Linked DNA regions of Alligator mississippiensis. The protein of the gene in region 2 purifies or fractionates together with the protein of the main gene of each other region. This does not show direct contact. Links are inferred from orthologs where the notes say so. Each region holds a gene or a part of one and is shown on either strand. Other genes may lie near its edges.

Evidence for each region.
Region 1: the proteins of OGDH (region 2) and DLST fractionate together in Homo sapiens (co-fractionation; 3 studies listed by BioGRID). This does not show direct contact. The link is inferred for Alligator mississippiensis from reciprocal best matches to the Homo sapiens genes OGDH and DLST.

The regions. Positions count from the first base shown.
Region 1 is NC_081825.1:261,150,471-261,162,691, reverse strand, and holds the start of DLST (dihydrolipoyllysine-residue succinyltransferase component of 2-oxoglutarate dehydrogenase complex, mitochondrial), read right to left. Parts: upstream 5,823-12,221; 5' UTR 5,800-5,822; coding exon 5,740-5,799; intron 2,209-5,739; exon of another isoform or gene 2,138-2,208; coding exon of another isoform or gene 2,096-2,137; intron 1-2,095. UniProt on the Homo sapiens protein: Dihydrolipoamide succinyltransferase (E2) component of the 2-oxoglutarate dehydrogenase complex. The 2-oxoglutarate dehydrogenase complex catalyzes the overall conversion of 2-oxoglutarate to succinyl-CoA and CO(2).
Region 2 is NC_081830.1:10,099,950-10,112,589, reverse strand, and holds the start of OGDH (2-oxoglutarate dehydrogenase complex component E1), read left to right. Parts: upstream 1-7,111; 5' UTR 7,112-7,223; intron 7,224-12,640. Other genes in the region: interleukin-36 receptor antagonist protein, read right to left, coding at 1,812-1,839. UniProt on the Homo sapiens protein: 2-oxoglutarate dehydrogenase (E1o) component of the 2-oxoglutarate dehydrogenase complex (OGDHC). Participates in the first step, rate limiting for the overall conversion of 2-oxoglutarate to succinyl-CoA and CO(2) catalyzed by the whole OGDHC.

The DNA.
Region 1 (12,221 bases), on a different chromosome or scaffold from region 2:
GACTATCAGCATTGCAAACAACAGGCAGAACCAGCTCCAGAGGGGATTCTGCCATCTCCCATACTCCAGGCTTTGGCCTAGATTAGGAAGTGGAAGGCAGTGTTCACAGGCCTCTATTTCAAGCATATTGCTTCATTGCACAACACAATCTGCAAGGCAGAGGAAGTGGCGAAAGACTTTCAGGTCCCCTTTTCCATCCCCACCCCTCTACTCCAACACTCTTTACCACAGAAAAGCACCTTGGAAGCAAGTGAATTAAACTCTGATCCCTGGCTTTACTTGCAGCTCCTGCTGCTGTGGGAGGGGAATGCCGATATAAAAAGAACACAAGGGACAGTTTTCTGAAAGCCCCACTCACCTTGAGTTTGTCACTGTGCAAGAAGGCCAAGGGTAGTTAGGTTAGGACTGTTGGAAGCAGTAGTTCCACACTGGAGCTGTTGAGTCCCACAGCCTCTGCAGCTCCAATTTGCAGTGTCAATTTTACTTAAAGGCAATTTGGGGGTTTAAAAGAACTGTTGAATGAAAACCTGGCTCTAGTGAAGTCAGTGCAAGACTCCTATTGACTTCAATGGGGCAGAATTTCACCTTTTCTGACCTTCATCTTAATCCTCAAAGTCAAGAGAAGGTTTATAACTCAGTCCAACACTTCAAACCAAAAGCAAAATTTGAGACAGTTATACCAGATCCTCCATCTCACAGGTATCTTACACAACACCTTTTGACCTGGAGGAGCACCAAACAGTTGTAAAAAGTAATATGCTACTCAACACTGCAATAACTCTTTCTGGAGTGGAACATGTTATTTGGCAATTCAAAGTATCACTGTACACGAGTCAATACAGGAAGAAAAAACAATCCTACTTTGGTTAAATCTCAACTTCTGAGGAAAGAGCCTGTATATACAACTTGCCTTCACTTTCAGCCAGAACTAAGAGCTCAGCTGTAGCTGGTATCTTGGACTTATTTGTGAAACACATTGTGTATGTGCTTCTGAAAATTCATGTACATCAGACAAAGGGAACTGTTAGGGATGATGCTAAAGACAGTGCAGGGACACACTATTTAGAATATGGAATGTACACAAAACATTTGACTTTGTGAAAAACTGGAGGAACACAAGGAAACTCAATTTAGGGTTCTGGAGCTCTACTGACTGCGCCTTTTGGGCACTAAAACTCCCAAATGATTTACAGCCACATGTCCTCTGGTTCTTTAGCTATTCATTCAATTGTACAGTAGGGAGCTAATTTCACTTAGCCTTCTGATGCTTTTTTTAGGGTACTTTGTAAAGAGGCAGGGGAAATCCTAGCATACCAGACATCATCTTGCTGGGGAAACAGGATATGCTGTACTAGTTTCTGGAAGGAAAACAGGCTGATATGTTTGTTTGTGGAGCCCCCGCACTGCTAGGATGTGGCTCACTCTGGGAAGCCAACTAATAATGAACGTCTGGGGAAAAATAAACCCACAGAAAAAGCACTTCCTATGGGAGCACAGTCTCTGTGGAGTGCTATAAATCTAAGAGCTGGCATACCAAGAGACTGTTTCATGTAGTCAGACAACCCCAGGGTTGAGAAACTAAAGCCTTACATGAGAGGAAGGTAGAAGAGAAAGCTCTCCTACGTAGTCACACAGTAGAGGAAGGCACAAATAAGATGGTGAGGGTCTCTAAACATATTACTAGCCCTTCCCAGTTTATTTTTAGCATGCAGGAAATGGCACTCATATACATAGCCTTGGTAGAGGAGATGGCAAACATCCCACTTACAGAGCATATCTGCTTATGACCACATCTCTTCCTGGGGACATCTGGCATTAAACCTCAGGAAGTGGTGTGGTTAAGGACCTTCACAGGCTGAAGAAGCAGCAACAGCAGCAGCAGTTTCAGGTCCAGTATGCCAACATGAGCATACTTTAAGAACCATCCTTAACATGGAAAAAGTAGCAACTGACAAAAATTGACCAATACCTCCCTAGAGTTCATTATCAACCTACTACTCCTCCCCCTGCCTCCCATGATTTCTCAAGAGTGTTCAAACATGCTGGAACCAGCCCAAGGTCAAAGTGACCCTAATGCACAGCCTCCAATCTCTACCTGCTTGGGAACTGTCACTCCTTGAAGCACGTTTGAAATCATTCTCTATGGAGACATAACTCCTGAGGTGGGCATGGGCATACTGTCATCATTTGCGAATTTCTACTTCAACCCTAGAAACATAGAATTATAGAAAATTAGGGTCGGAAGGGACCTCAGGTGGTCATCTCATCTAGTCCAACCCCGTGCTCAAAGCAGGACCATCCCAACTAGATCATTCCAGTCAAGGCTTTGTTGGAAACATGGGGCAGTTTGAATAAGAAGATTGAGAGAAGAGAAACATTCAGCATGTAAATTAGTTTTGCAGTCAACAAGTGATGCAGATAATCTAAGGGCTGGACATCATAGGCACTGACATGATGGGGTAGTGATAGGGTGAAGGAACACTAGGGCAAATCAGCCCTGTGGGAAGGGCCAGACTTTGGACTGCTTAGAACAGAAGTCACTGCATTGATAGCCAGGTCCTGAATAACCCACTGCTGCACAAGAGACTCAGTGTATTCATACACCTCATTGGTTTGTACAGCCTGTTTTTTATATGTAACATTGGGTAGGAAAAAAAGACAGGAGTCAGATAGGACTGAGGCAGTAGAGCCAAAGAGATAGAGAACACTGTTAGTTTGCTAGCATGGTAACATCCTTAGCTCCCTTTGATTGCTTCCACTCACTAAACAAATTATACATTAACTTTTCCCTGCCTAGTGAAATCCAAAGGCCTCACTGTCATCCTCCTGCTGTCAACTACATGCCCCTTTTGAAGAGCATCTTGTCTGCAGACTTCTGAAGTCCTACCTGTGCAACCACTTCCTCAGTGGTTGCCTCTCCTAGTCCAAATCGCAAATGTCAGTCCTGTCCTCTTCTGCCCACACACTCACCACTGATGCTCTCCCATGATTCCTAGTTTGATGACTCACAACTCTCTTCCTCCAGGACAGAGTTCTTGAGTTTTAATTCTCTTCTTCATATATGTCATAGCATCATAGTATCATAGTATTTAGGGTTGGAAGGGACCTAAACAGATCATCAGGTCCAAACCCCTGCCCTGGGCAGGAACGGGTGCCAGGATCACATCACCCCAGCCAAATATCTGTCCAGCCTCCTCTTGAAGACCTCCAAGGTAGGACAGAGCACTACCTCACCTGGGAGTCCATTCCAGATCCTGGCAGCCCTAACTGTAAAGTAATGTCTCCTGATGTCCAGCCTGAACAATTTGCTCTAGCAATTTGTGGCTGTTATTCCTAGTAACCCCCAGTAGTGCCTGGGGGAACAGAGCCTCCCCCAGTTTCCACTGGTCCCCCCTGGTGAGTTTGTAAACAGCCACCAGATCCCCCCTCAGCCTTCTCCTGTGGAGGCTGAATAGGTTCAGGCCCTTTAGCCAATCTTCGTAGCGCCTGCCCCGCTACCTCTTGACCATGCGAGTGTCAAAACCCAAGCTTCCCCCTTTCTCCATTCCTGCTGACTTTGCTACCCTCCCAGCTGCCCAAAGCCACAACTCTGAAGTTCACATGCTTGACCTGTTTTCACATCCCGGTATTTCTTTCTCAACCACCTCCAGAAATATCCTCACTTATCATACTTCTTCCCCACTCTCAAAACTCATCATCCATGTTCCAATTCTCTTGTCTAGACCTCTATGACTAGGGTTACCATACATCCTGGATTGGTTGGGACAGTCCCAGATTTCATAGGTTGTCCTGGGTTGGAGAAAATTGAAGTGAAAGTCCTAGATTGGCAGGAACCTGCTTGCATGTGCCCAGCTCCTGATTGATTATTGATTGAGCAAAAGACTGCTCACAGCCCAGCAGAGTTCAGACTACGGAGCAGCTCACTGGCTGGGCTCTCTAGAGAAAACTGAAGCAAAACTCCCAGACTGGTGTGAACCCACCCGCATGTGCCCAGCTTCTGACCGACTCTACTTGGCAAAAGACTCATGGCTTGCAGCTCAATGGATTCAGGACTAGGGAGCAGCCTTCCAGGTGAAGGCGGGGGCTTCTGAGGGGTCCCTCTGCCCTCCCGGCTGCTGGGGACCCATGTTTGGGGGGCGGGGGGATGGCTCTGGGCTCTGTCCTGGGATTGCAGCCCCAGCCTGCTGGGAGGCATTGTGCAGCTGCGCAGCATGGGCTTATGGAGCCCAGGGGGTGCCCCCAGCTGGGTCCAGCCTCTGCAAGAAGGGGATAAAGGCCAAAGGTGGGCTTCCACACCATCCTGCCCAGCCCTGCTCCTGGGAGCCTTGAGGCTGAAGTGGGGGGGGGGGGGTTACACCCCCTATCCCAGACTTCCTTACCCTGTCCATAAAATTATCATGGTCACCCTATCTGTGACCACCTCTCCTTGAACTCCCTACCTGCCTGTCTCTTCCCATTCTGTTATATTCAACATGACAACCAAAATTATCTTCCTAGCCCAATGCATCTCCCTGCATGTAATCAACTGACTTACAGTCTCATTTTATGTACAGTAAAAATACTTTATGCTTGTTCTTCTGGTTTTCACTTCTCTACCTGGGGTCCTACCCACCACTCTGAAGGGTGCATACCAATAAAAAGATACTTAAGAAACTCTTTGATTTTAATATTTTTAAAATATAAGCCTGTCTGAAATTAATTTTGCAAGTTGTGACCACCCACATATTAAGGCCTACACTTATGTTTATCTATTAAAAGAATTTAAGTTGCTTAAAACATCTGAATAGCACATGGCGACTACTGAAGTTGCACCAAGAAACCAAGGACTGGGTGGAAATCACTGCTGAAGCAGGTGGAGGTGGAGTCTGTTAAATAAACCAGTTTGACAGCAAGAGCTGCTTCTGCAGGTGCAGAGAATGCTTTCGTTCCCAAGCAAAGTCAATTCAAGGACTAGCTCGTTTTGAATTGGAAAAAAAATGTTGGGAGATGAGCAGACAGTAAAACAGCCCCTTTGCCAAGCTGTGGGCACCAAGTAATTGACAGGTCAAGATCAACTAGCTCTAAAAATCTTGAGAAACAGGATGCTGCTGCTCCAGCAGCTGCCAGCGCAGCTGGCAGTGCAGCAGGGAGTGAGTCCAGTACAACGAGAACTAGCCTTTGCACTGCTCCAGGCCGGGAAAACTTTAAACACAACTTTTTTCTGGGCGGAGGTGCAGCAGGAGCTTCCCCTGCCCACCCGGCTCCGCTGCCTCCGGCCCCTTCTAGCTCCCGCCTGTTCTTCCAACCCGGTGCCGGGCCAGGCCGCACAAGCCGAGGCCGGTCCAACGCCCGAGCGCGCGCTGCGGCTCCTCGTGTCGCGCCAGTGCCCAGCGCAGCCGCGTTGTGCTGAACACGGACCCGGCGGACAACCCGACCCGCTGCCGGCTACCAACACAGGTGCGGCGAGGCCGCGACCAGGCCTCAGGACCCCGACCCGGCCCCGGCCGCCCGGGCGGCTCCTCCCGTCCTCAGGCCCAGTCCCAGTCCCGGCCCTCCTGCCCCCCGCTACGGGGAAGCGCTACGTGCCAGGGCGGCAGGAGCCCTTGCGAGGTGGGGCGGGGCGCTGTGTCCCTCCCGCCCACCCGAGGGTCTCTGGTGGCGGCACCGCCCCCACCCCAGTGCCCTTGACAGGACTATGCCGTGCCGTGCCGTGCCGTGCCGTGGCGTGGCTTGGCTCGGCTCGGCTCGTCCCGCCCGTACCTGCCGCAGGGCATTGAGCGCCCGGCTCAGACAGCGGGACCGGGACAGCAGCGGCAACATCGCGGCGGCGGCGGCGACGTGAAGGCGAACACCGGAAACAGGCCCCGGGCAGGCCGGAAACGGAGCGGACCGAACCAAGCACCCTTCAGCGCAGGGGGAGCCGGGAGGGTCGTACCAAACATGGGGGAGGGTGAGAAACCGAAACGTCCTGACGGGACAAAACCACCGGGAGGAGGAGAAAGAGGACTCAACCACCTTGAAGGGCGGCTGCGAGCCCCGGTGGGCCTGCTGAGGACTGGACCACTCTGAGCAGGACAGGGGGGCCTTGATGTTATCTGGCTTGCGCTCCCTCTCCCCCGCCAGGCGTCTTGGTACTGGCTGCCGGTCCCTGCCCCAGGCAACCTTCAGCCATGCAGGGCAGGGGCAGGTTGTGAATTAGCCCATGGGCACCTGACTTGAGGAGCTTGATGCTGCCCACGGGAGCTGGGGAGCCCAGGGTGAGCAGGGATGGGCCTGGCAGCAGTGGTGGCAGTGCAGACACCAGCAGAGGTGATGTGGAGATCTGGCAGCACAGGGCAGGAGGCTGCACTCCCTAGCCAGGCTGTGCCCTGGCTTCCCAGTGGACAGGAGGCCCCTGAGTCCTGGCTCCCAGATCTGGGGCTGTAGCCAGAGACTGGGGGTCCCACGCCCCTCCCTAGAGCACTAGTGCCTGGGTTCCCCCAGCAGGCTGCCTCCAGGGAGCTAGCAACGCTTGGCTCCCACCTGCCAACACTGCCCTAGGGCTAGCTCACCCCAGCGATGTTCCCGCCATGAGGCTGGAGTTCCAGCGTGGCTGTGACGGACACTGGGACGCCACCAGGCCACAGGGCAGGCCCTCCACACAGCTGCAGAGGGAAAAGAAATGTGCAGCAAGCTCCCACCTTTATGCAGAGGGAAGGGTGGGATTCTCTCACCTGACCATGGCTCTGGCTGAATGCTGTGCTCCTGTGCAGGCTACGCTGTGAGATGCCCTGTTGCTTTCAGTGTACATGATGTTGCATGAGTTGAGACAGAGCCTCTGTTCACATCATAAAGGGCTGTATTAGAATTAGGCATCTGCAGAAGGGAACAAGAGTTAGAACTGGGTGCTGCGTTATCTTGAGCATTTCCTACTTTTTTTAAGTGCTCAATGGTGTAATGGCACTACTAACTTAATGTCGTTTTGTAAAGAATTTCCTCGAGGAAGGAGTACAGGAAAGGGAGAAGAAAGCAAAAGGAGGAGGTGGAACCTTTGAAACCTGTTTGGTGTGTAAAAAAGAACTAAAAAGGAATAAAAACAAATGGAACTGATACAGCTTTTGGAGCAGTGCATCTCTAGTATGCTGCTCTCCTTGAGCACAACAAATAGAAACCAGCTGCCTTGAATCGAAGACTGCTGCCTAGTAGGAAGAATGCATATCATAGCAATTGTAAAGTACCTGGATACAAATGAATGAGATAAGAGTTTTACTGAGAGATTTAATTCAGTTGAGCTCAAATAAAACTGCATGAGCCATTGTATTTTGTCTGGCTCCTTGTTCAAACTGTTCAGCAGGTAGCAGGTAACAAATCCAACAGGCTTTTTTGAATGAGATATGTGAGAGACTTGGGTTACTCTTTGGAGTCTGTTCCTCTGGTCAGGCAGATTATTTCTCACAGTTTATATATTAGGGACTTGTCCAGTGCTGAGGGGAGAACACTTACCTATCAGCTATGCTGAACAGCTGGCTCTAATGCAGGGGTGGGCAAAATGCGGCCCACGGGCCAGATATGGCCTGCCAGGTCGTTCTATCCAGCCCGCAGGGCCCCTAAAAAATTTAGAAAATTAATATTTATCTGCCCCTGGCTGCCTGACATGCAGCCCTCGATGGCTTGCCAAAACTCAGTAAGTGTCCCTCCGCCCAAAATAATTGCCCGCCCCTACTCTAATGGCTAGAGTTTACATCTGAAAACATACAATACTAAGTATTATTATTTAGATGATGTTCCTTTTCTAGGTGTGTCATACAGTGTTGCCACCTCTCATGATTTTTGTCATTCTTAAAGTCTACGCTATGGGAATGTGAAAAACTTAGCTCCTTCTTTTATATTATATATATATATATATATATATATATATATATATATTGTGTGTGTGTGTGTGTATGTGTGTGTATATATATATATATATATATATATACACACACACACATATATAAAAGAAAGAGCTTTTATATATAAAAGAAAGCTAAGTTCTTCACATTCCCAAAGCATATACTTTAAGAACACTGGCAAAAATCATGAGAGTTAGCAATACTGCACATACACCTCAAAGATCTAGCTGCAGTGAAGAAAAGAAACCTTCATCATCAACACATTAGAAACCACTGGTAACCTATGCTGTGTTCCTTAAGGCGGCGGTTTTTAAACTGGGGGGCATGCTGTCTGGGGGCGGGGAGGGGGGGCGCAAAGGAATGTGGGGGGCACCATGTGCAAGGCATATTTTACTTTTAAAAATTATTATCATCATTATTAGTATTATATTTGACAACATCACACACTGAAATAGTATGAGTGAACTTTTTGCAACTGATTTCACAGGTGTTACAATGCATTTAATTAAACCAGTGATCATTTCCATAGCAACATTTCCCACCTTCCAGTTTAGTACACCTATCATATCTACTCTTACAAGACAAAAAAATCACAACAAGCATTTTGCAGTGCAACTTATTCTGCCGGTGAGTTCGATATTTTCATACTATTGAGGTGAAACTGGATCGGTACTTATTGCCAAAAGATACTGTTACGAAACGGAAGGCAGAAGCTGAAACGGCTAAAGTCGTTAAGTATAATATCTGTGAATATCAATTTCAATCTGTGAACTAGAAACCTACAGGTGTAGGTAATTTAATTAAGTAAGTTAAGTTGTGTTTGTTAAGTTTATGAAAGCATATTTTGCATGTCTGTTTTTGTCTGGGTTGGGGTGGAGGGGGGCTCAAACAAAATTGTGACTCTTATTAAACTGAGCCCCTCTGTTTGAAAACCACTGCTTTGGGGCTGTCTACAATGTCTGTATCCTTCAGCTTCCCCTTCCAGCACCATTTTTACTAGCTGCAAAGAGGCCCTACTTGCTTCTAGCACTGGTGGATCCATCATGGATGGTGGGACAGTACATTTCCAGACTAGGTTCAGATTCCAAGTCCTGAATAGAACAAAGTGCTACTGGGCCCTGCTTTACAGTAACTGCGGTCCTTTACCATTTGGCATTAACTCACTTCCCCTGCCCAGCTTCACAGTCTCCTACAAGTCAGTTCTGCCTTACGTCCTGCTGTTCCAATCCTCACCACCCCTAACACATCCCAGCCAACGCATCTCTCTCCTGATTGCTTCTCAACCTCTTGTGGGCTAAGATCAAGTGTAGTCGCTGCACTGGTTAGTTACCCAAACCAACATGGATTTAAATGGCATTGTGTAATGGAGGGTGCATGCCTGTTCAATGCACTGTGGACAGGATGCCCTACAAGAGTCTTGTAAATAGATTCCTGCTGGCCAGCTTCCAGTGGGAGGATCTTGGCTGCACACCTACTTTATGGAAATGGGGGACTCCTCTCTAGCTTGCTTCTGTGCTATTTGGTTAAGGACAAGTGGGACTCTGTGGCATCCAAACCCCAAGCTTCTGGGCTTGGGCCTGTACATAGGATGCCCATCAATGGATTTAGGAGTATCTGAAGCCCGAGGCTGAAAAGTCGGGGGTGGAGGATACTTGTCAGTTGTAGCACCACATATAGTGTTCAAATGATTGAGAGTTGCTCAGTCAAGAGGATTTGGAACTGATTTGGCTAATTTGACATGGAATATGAAAATTATTCCTCCCCCCAAAAACTTCTCTCCTGATGTGCAACAAGATAGAACCCAGAAGGTTATACGCAAAATTATTCTATCGGTACACACAACCCTGCGTGGTTAGCAGTGTTGCCATTTACAGACCCTCTGAGCTTGTTGAGTGGTCTGTGTATCTGAGCATCCCAGCAGCAGAATGGAAGGTGCCCTGATCCCTATTACTGAACCTGACCCTTCTCCATCTGCATATTCAGAAGTACCTTGAAGCTGGTTGGCTGCTACTGGCTTCCCCACCCCATTCTAGTAGGGACTGAGCTCAGATAGAGTCTTCAATGCCAGCGTGACTGCTTCAGTGCCCCTTCCCACTCAGCACTTTCTCTCCAAAAAACCCTGGGAACACAAGGTACTCTGCGGACAGCTGCATTCCTGCTGTAGCTAAGGTAAGTGCACCGTCTTTGTGGCTGGGTTTTTGGTTGTAGCCGGGTTGGTCTAAGGACATAGGCAGGCAAGGCTCTTTGGGTAGATGTGATATCTTTTATTAGACCAACTGAGTAGCTGAGGGGAAAAAGTTCTTTGCAAGCTTTCAGGCACAATTGCTATTCTTCAAGCAGAGGAAGTCTCTGCTGTTCTGAAACTCCAAGGAATGAAAGAAACATTCCCTGGAGTCTCAGAACAGCAGAGACTTCCTATGCCTGAAGAGGGGTGATTGCACCCAAAAGCTTGCAAAGAACTTTTCCCCATCTACTGAGTTGGTCTAATAAAAGATATCACATCTACCCAAAGAACCTTGCCGTCTCTGTGGGGCACCAGGCCTGCTCTGGCTGTTCACTGGAAACTGGGAAATCTAGAAGTCGGGGGGATCTCTTGATAGCAAGGTTTTGCAGAACCTGGTTTTTCTGAGGAGGATTAGGCTGGAGAAGTTTATGGGGAATGTCTGTTTGAGAAAAACAATTCTGAGATTTTGGGGGAAGTCAGGATGTCAGGGTTTGGGGGAGTCTGGCTCTGGAGAGTCTGTTCTCAGAGAAGGTTAGCTTGCAGATTTCTGAGGAGTCTCATTCTGTTTGTTTGTCTCTTTCTTCTTGTAAAAGAACCCTGGCTCCTTTTTAATGGTTCTGAGGAGGCCACTGATGATAACTGCTAGTAACGCTCAGCATGGATCAGGTCTTTTACAACATTCACTAATACATCTGGCAAAGGAGCTGAGGGCTCAATGAGATGGTACCTGAGAGCTCACATGAGAAGATCTCTATTGCCATAAACTGACAGGGGCAGAAGTGACCGCTAACACATTGCTGTACACCTTATAGGAGCTAGGGGCACTGGCCTGAGACTATTACTCTTTACTCCTTACACAGCATTGCACTTATCCCCTGGTACCTGAGGCTGCCTTGATAAGCAGAGCTGATGAGGCCATCCATTGCATCAGTCAGGGGAGCTCATGGATGCAAAAGTTATCCTGGGCTCTGAAGAAGCAGCATTCTCTACTAAGAAGCAGCATGTCAAGGAGGGTGTGCATTAACTGCAAGTGCCTCTGTCTGTCAAGCAGGGTGGGGCACAGAGCACATCCTGTCTCTAAGATCAGATGTGGTGCATGCTGCACCAACAGCTGCCGTAGAGGGGGCTGAAAGTTCTCATCTTGCCTTTTAAACATAGGGATTTGCCAGCCCCTGGATTCATCCCTACAATGCAGCTCTGAAGGAATTTTTGGTTCCATTTACCTATAAGGGGCAGGGTGCAGATTCACAGAGCTGTTTAATCACAGAGTGAAATGAGGGCAGGCTTTGTGGCTCTAGAAAGACGGAAAGAAACAAAGGATCCCAGCTAAAAAGGGCCCTTTCAGACCACTCAGCAAACACCCAATCCCCCTTCCCCCCAAGCCAGTGCTCCTGGGATGCAAAGTGGGCTCAGAACACAGCCCTGCCCCATCTATTCATGGATCCAGCAAGTAAAAGGTGACTACTTCAATTAAGAACACCTTCTCCCTTCCAGAGGAACACAATGTAGTTTGAGGAGCCTTCCAGGAGGAAGAAAAATGGACTGAAATCAAGCCCTTTGTTTCAGTCCATCTGAATATCTGGGGAGCAAGAGCAACTTGGGTACCCAGGAAAAGCTGGCATTGTTGGTCAAAGCTTAAAGTTCATAGACAAGCCCACATCTACCTGCTGCAACTAGGAGGAGTTTATCACCTTGGTGTCTAAAGCTTTAATCTGGAGAAATCCTTCAGCTTCACTTTTCTCATGAAAAAGATGAGGCATTCTGAGAGAGCCAAGTGCCAAAAGGAAACACCAAATATGTTAAAGAGCAGGTTCCTAGTGCCATCCAGAGCTTCAAAATGAAATGGCTGAAATAGGCATTATATACATCTCCATTAAAACTAGCTGCTACCCCAGAAGAATGTTATGTCACTGGGGCTAATCCTATCTATATAAAGGGTGAAAGTGGACATCCTGGGAAATACAGATCAGAGAGTCTCACTTCCATCCAGGCAAACTAACTGAAATGAGAACAGATTATAGATCTACATGATCACATTATGGGGACAAACAACCAGAGCTTCTGTAAAACCTTTCCAATCAATAGCCTACTTTCAGAGTATTGGAAAAATAGTGCAGGTCAGCCTGGGGGGAAGGGTAAGAGAATGT
Region 2 (12,640 bases):
GCCACCGCGCACAAAAGGGGCAATGGTGGCTCCCCCTACCCCCGGGCTGCCACCCCCACCGTACTCCACTCCCAGCAGCCCCCGTGGCACTGGGTTGGGAACCACTGAGCTAGACTTAGAGTCTCCAGGGCTCTGAAATAGGAGCTACATGACCAGGAGCAGCAGACAGACAGCAGTATTACAGAAGAAAAGATGGCTTGATTAATGGAAGATCAAGAACATTTAAAAAGGAGAGTGGGTCATTAACATCTATGGAATGAAGAGTTTAGAAGGAAAGTGGTTGAGGTCCCTTCCAGCCTCACTTCTCTATGATTTATGAGTCATGGAGTCAAATGACTCCCTCACTGCTGCCTAACTAGAAATGCTGCTGCTACTACTGACAGGCACTTGGTTTTAAGTTTGTGGGGGACCAGGAATCGAAGCTTGGTGGAACCGCCTCCCCGGATCTGCCCCTCCTGGCCAGAAGGTTGCTTCAGGTGCAGGATGGTGAAACACAACAAGGCCAGTCGTTTCAGATTCACTTGGTCCCCCAACTTCACTGCAGCTTCCCGGAAACTTTGATCTGGCTTGGATCTCTTCCCCCCCAAGGGGGCATTGAACACGGGGTGACAATCAGGATAGCAGGGCCTGGCATAAGGGGCCCTTGGCATTCATTGTTAACTCAGTAGGTGGCAGCTTTGGCTGGTTTCCAGGCAGCTCTTGCATCTGAAGGTGGTGACTTCCAAGTCTCTGCGTTTCCCTGCCTCTAGGAGCTCCGGGAAACCAGAGCTTGGGCTGTTGGTGGATGCAGCAATGAAACATCCATTGGCTTGCATGACTCCAGGATAATTCCCTGCCCAACCTGCTTCTAAACCTGAGGAACCTGTCTGGGTGGTGGCTTTTGCTACCTCTTGCTTTCTTTTGCCTGAGCCCAGGCATGGGAAGAGTGACAAGCCCCATCTATCACTGGGGACAAGGTTTTATCTGCTGAGATCAAACCTTGGTCCTATTCTAGCTTCTAGCACCAGAAAGTTCAAGTCCTCTGACATTATCTGAGATACCTGTAGCTTTTTCACTGGATACTATTGCCACAGTCAGGGCTGCCCCGGGCCCGGTACTTTGAGGGGGCCCCACGGAGCTGGGCGGAGAGGCTGCAGCCCTCCCGCAGGGCCTGCTTGGAGCTGGCGGCTCAGCCCTGTGCCACGGAAGAAGCATGGAGACCCCCCACTTTGCGGGCGTACCAGGGCACCATGCAGTGTTAAGGGGACCCCGCACAGGCTGATTTGCCGTGGGCCCCACACCCCGATAGGGTCGGCTGCGGCCACATGCTCTGATAGCTTCCAATCAGGCTAAATAAAGGAGCGATCAAATGCCCCTCCAGTGAGTGCTTTGGATGGTGGCTTCTACTGGGACACCACCCAAAGCACTAACCAGCATGCTCTGAGTAGAGTAGGTTTATGGATTTCCCTTGGAGATTGATGGTGATCAAGTTAATGTGTGGAGAAATAATAACAATAACAACAGTCATCATTATAAGAATTTTAATTAGAGTAATAATAATACAGAGAGTTTTAAAGGGTCACCCTTTGGTTTGTTCTGGGGGTTTCACTCCCCCCCCCAGCTATAACATCAGAATCCTCCTGCTTTCTCAGGGATCTGTAGACAGGCTGGACAAGACATGGTTTCTGCCCCTGCCTCTCTGTTCAGCAGACCATTGGCCCCTGGTTGTAAGGCCTAAAGCTTCTCAGGACATCTTACCATCCCAATAAGCCTCTTCCCATCCCATAAAAATGCTCCCAAAGGCCCAGTGCCCCATTCAAGTCTGTGCTTACCTCCTGGCGCCCCCTGGGGATCACCCATGTCCACTGCAGTCACCTTCTTCCCTACTAGTTGGACTCAAGTCCTTCTGGATGCTGTGGGGTGTTTCCTAACCCCTGGGGCTCAGCCAACTTGTAAGGCTTCATGCAACAATGTAGAGCACTGAAGGCTGGTGGATATCCCCATGTTAAAAATGGTGACCCCCCCTCCGGACTCTCCCCATCTCTTTCCAGCATCCATGGCTGAGAACGAAGGGTTCAGCCCTGCCAGGTACCCTGCATGCCCATCACCCCCCAAACCTCCCGGGGCAACTTCCAGTCTCCCACAGGGCATAGAGCGGAAGGGGCATCATTGTGCCTCTGATGGCTGCAGGCTATGCACTCTGCCCCCCAGTTGTGTTCCTACACACCAGGTGCTTTGTGGAGCCTGCTGATAGCTCAGACAACAGACCCCTTCTTTCCCAGTGGGTCTGTGCTGCCTGGTAGGGTCAGACTTCACACACCACAGTATTGTCAAAGACAGACAGATGGACAGACAGCTATAGATGGATGTAGTATATGAGGATATATATGAAGTGGGTAAGGGGATGGATTGATGGATGGAGAGAGAGAGAGACAGACAGAGGGGGTATATATGGATGGATGGATGGATGGATGGATGGATGGATGGATAGGGTCTATGAGGATAGGGTTAATGGATGGATGAACAGATGGAAGGGTGAATAGGTAAATAAACAGATAGGGTGTATGGATGGATGGATAGGTATGAAGGCAGACAGATAGCTAGGATGTACTGGGCAGGCTGGAGCTGGGGGTATCCAGCCCTGAGGCACTGCCAGTGCCTGTGGGAACTTCTATGTCCCCAAACCCCTTGGGCAGAAACCCATGGGTGCAGGCAGGCTTGGTGCTGGCCATGGAGCTGGAGCCCTGCTGAGTTGTGCAAAAGGAAGCAAGTGATACCACAGGAAGTCTGTGACACAGATATCAGGCAGCCTGGGCCAGTGCGGGCAGTGATTGCAGGGGAACTGATGTCAGGGCGGGCTCCCCACTGGCGTCATGGCCACAGATGCTGGCAGCTCCTGGGGGCTTCCTTTGCAGCCTGGAAAGTGGGAAACTCCGTGCTGATGGAAGCTGGTTCCCTGCCTCTTGCCTGATGCAGGGCTGTGATTGGGCTTGAAACTAGGACTACACTCAAGCCCAGGGCTGACATTGGGAGAATATCCCACCCAGAGCTTTGGCTTTGAGTGCTGACATAGAGGTGATACTGAGATTATAAAGAAGGTATCTAGGTCATCAAGAAGGTTCTGAGGTCATCAAGGCAGTGCTGAGGGCATCAAGCCAGCATCCTGGTGCCCATGGCACTGCCAGGCCAGGCAAAACCTGGCAGCAGCCTCAGTGCCCTGCTGGCACCTCTCTCAGTGCCCCACAGCCTGCTGCCCATCTCCTTATGGGTCCTGCCCCATGCCCAGGTCTTAATCCCTGCAGGGTGGCTGTAGCTCACGGGGACGTAGCATCATGCCAGTGGACCAGGCCATGCCTTCTCTATTGGCGTTCACAGTCACCCTTCCCAGAGCTTTTTAACTGCTTTTCTCCAGCCACAGATCAGTCCCAAAGATGGCATTCCAGCTTCTCTGGGTTGGGTGATTCTTGGCTCTGAAGAACCAGAAGCCCCTTGACGTGTCCAAAGGCATCCAGCTTCCTCGCAGCCAGAGGAAAGGAAAGAAAAGACCAGATGGCAAGTGGAAGAGCAGGGTTTGTGGGAATCAGATGGAACCAGAGGGCCAGTGGGGGTCGCAGGGGTTATGTCTAGTCCACGAAGGATTGTCTCCAGTTTATTCCTGCTGATATGTCACCCCAGAGGAGCTTTTGGATAGGCACCCACTGGTGTTGCCATCAGCATGAAACCTTCCAGGCAAGCATGGCGGAAGCCTCTGTGAAAACAAGCAACTCGTTTAGTCCCCCAACCAACTCCAGGTTCTGCTTAATAGCTCCCTTCAGCCCCCACTTGGACTGAGAAAAGCCTGGCATTGATGCCCCTCCTGACCCCTTTATTCCCTTGCTGGACCTGGAAGCAGAGTCAGCTGAACCCACACACCCATTTTAGCCTCTGACTAAGGCTGGGGGCTCTGATATGTATGTGGAGTTACAGCATTCACATACCACCGGGCATAGAGCCACAGGGCCTGGACACACTTAGCCCCATTTAAATCCAGTTGAAACCCACAGAAGACAACTGTACACACCTGTTGTACTGGTTTAAAGCCACCTGGGATGGTTCAACCATGTGGCCAGGAAACCCAGGGCTACTTCCATCCAGTGCGGTTATAGGTAGATACCAAGCCTTCTGCAACAGATCTGGTCGGGCCTCCAAGCATCCCACACTGCATTCTTGCCCCCCCTCGCTGCTGCCATTGGCCGCTCTGGTACACAGCCAGAATTCTACTGCTCCTTGTTTCCCCCCACTACTTTCATTAGCAATTTTTATCGCTCTTTACCTGGCTTGGTCAATCCAGGTGAACTTCGTAATGAACAGCTGTGTCCTCATTCCCCACCTGACTGCAGCCAAACATCTGCCCCTACCAGCCCTTGGGAACCCAAAGAGGTGGGTCCAAGACCTCTCCTTCCCCCAAACCAGCAAATGTGCCCCAGATTGCAGGCTCTTGATTGAACTTCTCTATAGGCGATAAGGGAAAGCAGAGCTAACAATCCCCCAGCCACAGATTACCCACTCCTGAAACCCCCAGAGGATAGGTGCAAGCCCTTGCTCCCCCTAGAAGCCATGTCCCCAGGAGCAGGGCAAAGGGTAATGAGGGAAGGGATGGGTCCTGGAGGATGAAAAGCGCTGCAGGGTGCTTGGATCATAGCTAGGAGGGAAATGCACAGCTCAACTGGGTGATGGTTTCTACCCTGCCCAGGCAGGCCGCTCCCATGCCCATGCCCATCTGCTGGGCCTGGTACCAATGCAAAGGAGCCATAGGAAAGCTGCTTTCCTTGTTCTCTCATCACACCCAGCCTGGGGAACTCCCAGCTTTCTGACTTCCTTCCTCAGAGAGTTTCTGGCACTGGGCACTTCCCATCTCAGCCCCTGCCCCAGGGGCAGGGAAGGCACTGGGCACTGTCCCCAAGGGTGCCGAGCTGTGCAAGGCGGTAGGTGGATGGATCCTGATGGCTCACAGGTGCAGGGGGATCTTAGACTCCCAGCTCCTCCTAACACCGCAGACCAGCCCCATGCACAAGCTGGGAGCCTCTGGCACAGGGAACGAGGGCTGGCTGGGGGGGTTCATTGCCCACTGCTGCAGTGGAAAGCAGCCCCTCCACCTTCTCCCGCCTGTCTAAGCAGAGGATGTGGGGATCCTTTCCTGATCCTCACTGCAGCTCAAATCTGGTGAACAATGCCTAGCATCTGAAATCTTACCTACATTCAGTAACCATCAGAAAGGGAGGATGAAGAAGGGAACTACAAATAATACAGGAAGTATCCTGTTGCCTGGTGCCTGCACCTCGAGAAGGAGACAGAAGAATTAGAGAAGGTGCAGAGAAGGGCAACATGGATGATAACTGAAATGGAGGGGCTTCCCTATGAGATGAGTGTATGGAGGCTAGTGTGAGAGAGACGGAGAGTGAGAGAGGGTGTGTGGGGTGGATAGACGGATAGATAAATAGTGTGGGTTGGATAGAAAGACGGATAGATTGTGTGGGGTGAATAAATGGATAGAAGGACAGATAGTGTGGGCTGGGTAGACAGATAGATGGATAGATAGAGTGTGGGGTGGGTGGATGGATGGGCAGGCCTATTCAGTTTGGAAAAGAGACACTTGAGGGGGGCAGGATCAGGGTTTCCAAAAAACTAAATGGCAAAAAGAAAATCAATAGGGATTTATTACTGACTGTCTCTTCCCAAACAAGACCGAGGGGTCACAACATGAAAGGCACAGGTCATTGGTTTAGAACAGACATCAGGCAGTTCTTTCTCCCCCAGCGGGTCATTCAAGGGTGAGACTTGTTGCCAGCAGATATGGGGGAAGCTGAGAGTCCAGCCAGATTCATGGAGGGATTGGAGTTGTTCATGGCAGAAAGCACGGCAGTGAGATGCATGGCCTCTGAACTGGAGCTTCACAGATCCTAACTGCTGGAGGCTGCATATGAGAGAGGAACAAACCCTGCTCAGACCCAGCGGTCTCCCTTCTAGCCTTCGCTCTCTGCCGCCCCGTGACGCAGGAGTTTGAGCAGGATGGACTGAGGGTCTTCTCTGCAGTCCCTGGCAGCTCTGATGTCCTTAACTCTACCCCAATGTGTGGTAGAGATCCCTCGAAGACATCCCTGCCCCTCAGCACTGAGAAACCGAGCGCCAGAGATCAGGATGAGGCCTCCGTGGGCCACCAAACCTCAAAAAGGAAGTTCCAGTTCTGGTGATTTGGGATGAAGCCAAAGCCTCCCTGGCTGGATTTTCTACCCCTCCCTCAATAAAACCTCCCTTCCTTTCTCCCCAGACCTGGCCTCAACGGGTTAGTCCCACTGAAAGGGACCCCCACAGTGACTCCTGCCCCTCCTGGTGTAGGAGCTGGGGGCAGGGACACAGCAGCAGCAGTCAGGGGTTTGGAGTCCCCTGGGGCAGAGGCGACAGAGCCCTGCTATCAGGGGCGGGGGTTGCAGGAATGTGGGAATGAGCCTGGGGGGCTCTGAGATTCCCCAGCAACAGCTGCTTCTCTCCCATCTAGGGGACACAGGCCGGGACATAGTGTCCCCTGCCCAGACTCTGCTCTTGCCTCACTTGCCATCTCCTCTGCGCTGGGCAGCATTAAGGATAATGAGTGGCTTGTCCGGTGACATCACTCTGAGTGGCTATGACATCACAGCCCCTCTGTCACCGAAGGGGTCATGTGAGACCCCACCTCCTTAACAGGGGTTAAGGTGACATCTGTCTGTAGCTCCAGGTTGGGGGACTGAGGTGCCAAGGTGGGAGCCCAGCCTCCTCTCCACACCGCATGGGGAAACTGAGGCAGGACGACATTCAGCAGGATCAAGAGGAAGGGTCCACGCGCCACAACAGACTCCCGCCACGAAGGCAATATCCAGGCCCCACCCCTCCCGCGCTAGCTCCCTCCACTTACTGCCTGGCCACGCCCCTTAGTCTCCCCGCCCATTGGCAGCTGGACGCCTGCCAGTCACGCTGTGGGCGGGGCAGTACGTAGGGGGCGGGGCAAGCCAGCGTGTAGGGGGTGGGGCCAGGGCGGTGACGCACAGCGTGTAGAGCCGTGGCCTACGCGGTGACGCAAAGATAAGGGCGGGGCCTGGGCGGTGACGCGAGGCGCAAAGGGCGGGGCCTGGGCGGTGACGGAGGCGTAGGGCGGCCGCGCGGGCGGTAGTTGTCGCTGACCGGGCGCTTCTGTCAGAGTGGAGCTACGAGGGGGACGCGTGTGACGCCAGGTACTGTAGCGGCGGGGCGCGGCGTGGCGCGGTGCGGGGACCCGCGGCGGCCGCATGTGCACCCCTTCCATCCCTCCGTCCCCGGCTTCGACTTGCCCTTGTCCGGGCACCGCCTGGGAGCGGGGGAGTGGACCGGGGCTGGCGCGCCGAGCGACAGCCTCTCAGGCCAATGGGGAGCCGGCGCGGCGCACTTCTGCCTGTTCACTGGTTGCCCCGTTTGGCGGGCTGCGGGGGTTGGACGCCGGCGCCTGGGGGCGGGGCCGACCCAGGATCACCCAGCCGCGCCCGCCTGCTGGCCTCCTGGGTTCCCTGCCCATCCCCCACACCCCGCTCTCCCGGGTCCCTCCTCCCTACCCACACATTCCCCCACCCCTGCATGGGCTGGGGGGGGAAGATGTCAGCCTCCTAGGTTCCCTAACCCCTCCCGCATTGTCCCCCGTGGGGCATCCCCCACATTCCCGGTTTCCCTGGCCCCCCCCTGCAGCTCCCCAGGCAGGCAGACAGGGCTGCTGCTGTACTGGGCCCCCTGGCCCTGGGCAGACCTTGGTGCTCTCAGCTGTGGGGCAGGACAGCAAGTGTCCCTGGTCATGGAGCCTGGGGGGGAGTTGGCAGAGTCCAGCCCCCTGCTCTGTGCAGCATGTGCCTGCCAGACCCTCCCAGTCGAGTGTTTGCTGCTCCTGCTCTTGGACACTTCCAGGGACAGAGACTTGGGAGGCCTTGGGCAGCCTGCACGTCCCTTCTCGATGCCAGCCTTAGTCTCCCCTGCTGCAGTTGAGGCTGTTTGCTCCCCGTCCTGTCCCCATACCCGTCCATCCTCTGTCATTGCCCTCAGGGGGCTCGAGGGCTGGGATCCAATCCCCCTCCCCCCCCCCCCCCCCCCCCCCAGGCTTCTCTTAACTTGACTTGATTACCCCAGCTCTTCCAGCCCATCCTTATCAGTCCTGTGTCCTGGGCCCCTGATCTTTTCTGTTGCCCTGTGTTGGACTCTTTCCTGCCTGTCCACCTCCTCCATAATGTGCAGGGCTCAGAACTGGCCACAGGACTCCAGGCAAGGCCTCCCCACCCTGGGACTGCTTTCACCCCTGTTCTTGTGAGTAAAGCTGGGGGATTTAGTCTCACCATGGGTGTCGAGATCCCCAGTGCTGGATGGAGCTGTCTGAGCTTGATTGCACTGAGGAAGAACCTGTGCTCTTTCCCCCAGGCTGGACCCCACAGACAAGCCCTTAGGGAGCTCCCTTCTGTGCCCTAGCTTTAGTATCAGTCCCAGCTGGTGCTCTCTTGGTCTCTGTAGACTTTATTTAGTTCATCTATAAGGTGTGTCTTTACTCTGGCTTCAGACTAGCAGGATTAACCACCTCTCGGGGTTTAGCTCTGCCCTTGATGGAGCTGCCTGGCTGGGACCTATGCTTCATGTCAGCACTGTGTGACCTCCCAGGAATGTGTCATTCCCTGCCTGGCACCTCTGAGGCAGGCTGGGAGAAGGGTGTTTCAAAGGCAAAGCAAGGAAGTTGCCAGTCCAGCCCTTCTGGGCATCTGCTGTTATGGCAACAGTTGTTGGTGCCTTGTTCTTCCCTATCCCTTGCTCTCCTGCTGGTAGGGAGTCCATGCTACAGCGTTGAGGGTACTCTGGTGTGCACTGCGATCCTATCAGGGGTGCCATGCTAGCCCTGTGAGGTGTGCAGGCATGAGCTCCCCCTCCCTTGTCTTTCCTGTTCTGATCTCTCTTCTGCACTGCTGCTTGTAGGTCCTTTCCCAGCAATTGGTGAAAAGAGCTTAGGCTCACGACAGCTTGTTGTGTGTAATGTACACATGCATTCACATGTACACACACGTATGCGCACACACTACATATGTCCTTACTCTGTGTATGTGATCTACATAGTTACTGTGCCAGGCATTCTTCAGGATGCGTGTGGCCAGATGTAACATTTATCACAGCTGAGGAGGTCATCCGGTGGGTAAAGCAAGACCTTATCACACTGTAACTCAGTCTTTGTAGTACTTTTATATAACCCTGGATGAGACCGGGATAACCCAAGAACTTTGGAGCAGGGATGGCATATAGATATGGCCCACAAGCCCAGTCCAGCCTGCTGGATTTATGTGGTGCCATGCAATTCCTAAAGAGCTGCCATAGCCTCGGTCAGACCCTAAGTCCATTTTGTCTAGTCTTCTGTGTCGTACGGTGGCAGAGAGTAGATGTCAAAAGGGGTAGTGACCTGGGTATGACCAGAAGTTTTTCCATTCCTTCTCTCACTTGCAGCCTTCAGCATTTAGGGTCTAGGAGGCTGTGCTACTCACTCTTGTACTTGTTGGCTACTGATGCCACTTTTTCCCCCAAGCATATGTCCAATCTCTTGGTGAATCTGGCCAATCTCTCAGCTTCTCCCACATCTGATGGTAATGAGTCCCACTCTTGAATGACCCGCTTGGTGAAGAACTGCCTTGTATTGGTTTTGAAATGAGCAGGCTGTCGGTTTATGTTGTGACCTCATACTTGACTGGTGAGATGGTCAATAAGAAATCCCTATTGACTTTCTTTGCCACTTAGCATTTTGTTAAACCCTGATCCTGCCTCCCCCGGGAGCTTCTCTTGTCTAAACTGAGCAGACTTAGCCTTATTAGTCTGTCCTCAAAATGAAGCCCTTCCACAAAAGGATTTTTATCTGGCCTGGTGTGAGGAAGTGGTGTTGAGGGGGAGCCATAGGTGGTTAGGATTGTCTGGGATGGCAGCATGTGGCATGGAGAGCTGGCAGCCTCACCCAGCTTGGTGGGAACTGTGGTGGGGCTGGGAAGTTAAGATCTGGCTCAAGGTTCCCAAGTCAGGCTGTCAGATACTTGGCAGGAAGTGGGCAAGGACTGCCATGGCATTGGAGAGTCTGACGTGGCACTGACAACCTGGCAGGGACTTGGCAGCATCCTATCTACCTGGGCATCAGGACAGCCCTGTTCGTTCCAACCAGGCCAGGGCGTGCGGAAGCTTTTTGCCTTGGAACAGAAATGTGCTAATCCAGCCTGTGGCCTGGAAGCTACTCCATGAAAACTTTAGGCTCTTTAAACTCTTGACCTTGGGGTTGTTTCTGGATCTTGCCTTTTGGATGCTAGAAGGTACCATGGCTTCAGCCTCTTAAATCTTTCCTGGGACTTGGACAGCAGCATACAAAACCTCGGCACCAAGGCAAACCTAACCAGGCCTCTGCTGTGTCTCTTTCTCAGTGTTTTCTGCATGCACCTGTTCCAGGTTGGCTGTTTTCAGACTTGAAATGAGCTGGGAAGGGCTGGAGAAATCAGTTCCATCAGTGATCAAATTGATCGAAGGCAGAAAATCCAGAAAGGCACATGGACCTTCGTGTTTTTTTTGTTTTTTTTTTACAAGCGCATCTTTATAATCCAGTGGTCATCTGATAGCTCAGGGTATGCTGAAGCCTCTGCTGGTTTGATGGCTGTCTTAACACCTGAAAAATCATTAAGACCAAGGCACTTAACACTTTTTTTCAAATCCCCTGCTCCCCTCCCCCCAGTAATTAGATTCTGTTTGTGGGAAACTTTAGAAACTTGTTTAGATTCTACGCACAGAAAGTTTTATATTATAGTGAGGTACTCTTGAGTCCATTCTTCTCACCATTGCAGGGGGACAGGTATTTGGGGGCAGGTGATGTGTGGAGGTCAAGCAGCTTGCTCCCTGCTTGGGTCTGCCCCTCTTCTCCTCCTCTAGCCTCTGCTTCCCCTAACTCCAGCCTTTGCTCCCCATTTTACCCCACCTTCTTACTCTTACTTTATGAAGTAGGCTCCATTCCCCTTCTAGCCAGGAACACTGAACACAGTCCCAGCCCAGCCGTGTAGCAGCCTGCATAGCTGGTACAGGAGCTGGGTTGGGACCATGTTCAGTTCCCCAGGCTGCATTGTATACAGAGCGTGTCACTTTTAAATTCAGGGTAGTGTCTTGGATTTCCGTAAATACGGCATTTCCTATCATAATCTACCAACCCCTGCTCTTGATTGCTAAGTGACCCTGACTCAGAACCTGAGTTGCCTGACCCTGCACTGCCCTCGTACTTGATTCTAAGATGAGGGGCTTCTTCCCTGTGTTAAACAGGGAGGGAACGTTGTCTTGGAATGGAGTAAATATGGTACTTGGCACTTAGGACCCCCCTCCCCCCCCATCTGTGAAGCTAGCAAGCTGGTGTTTTAATACTGCTGAAGTTATTTCCTGTTTCCCTGTCTTCAGAAGGTCACTGTGCAGTCACTGCCTCTCATCTCCTTCAGCTGAGGGCTTTTTTAAATGAACTGCTCTATGGCAGGGGCTGGTTGCTCTAAGCCTGGCTGCCTGTCTCTCTGCAGCCAGGCCCTTCACTTTTACACTGTCACTGAGCTCCTGCTCAGTGCTTTGAGGGGATGCACTTCACTTGTGGACTGGATTTCCAGTGTTGCCTACGGCTAATAAAGCAAGCTGAGGCCCAAAGGCCACGGTTACAAATGTATTGTAATTTCGTGCACATAATGCACTCCCAAATATAATACGCAACCTGTTTTTGATAGTTTAAAGGGGGGAAGAAAAATTCTTATGTTGTGGTATGGGTAAGTAATTTATCTGGCTAGTTGGGGCTAGGGTTGTACACTGCTTTGATCTGAGGCATGGGGCCATGTCATCCAGCTGGGAGGTTCCCTAGGGGTCTGGAAGCAGTGGCAGAACTAAGTGCCACAGCTCCCAGAGCCTCTGCAGTGGATACTGTCATCACTACCCTGCTGCCAAATTTCAGGGCCATATTTCTCATGTATAACGTGCACCTCAATCTCCAGCTGGTTGGCGGGCGGGGGGGGGAATGGGACAGGGTGCATGTTGTATGCAAGACAATATGGTATCCTTTGGTAGGTCACCATGGAAGAAAATGCAAACAGACGATTGATCAGGGCAAAAAATACCTGACATTTGCAGTGGATTAGGTAGCTTCCAAGAGAGAACAGAGCTATAAGCCTCAGGAAAGTTTCTCCACCCGAGACAGCTTGTTAGGGTCCACCTTTCATTAGAGACATGTCTAATTAACCTGGCAATCAGATGGGGAGAAATTGCAGGTCTGCCCTTATCTTGGATTGGGTAGAGGGCCAGCCAGTATCTGTGACCTGGGTTTTGTGTCTGTGTACAGCATGGTGGGAATCGCTGGCAGCTTCCCTCTGCTTGGGTTGGCCATGAGACAATTGACATGTTTCTTTGCGGGGAAGACTGGCTCTGAGGTCTTGTCCTGGGTGGTCAGAGGAAGGGGAAAATAGGATTTTCTAGCAACACCCTTTTTTTCTCAGCATCTGTTGAGCTGACTGAGAGAGGCAATAAAAACCTGTGCCTGCTGTACTGCTCACCCTTAACTTTCAGTATTCAAATAACAGCTGGTAGGCTTTTAATTTGCTTTACTTTGGGAGCT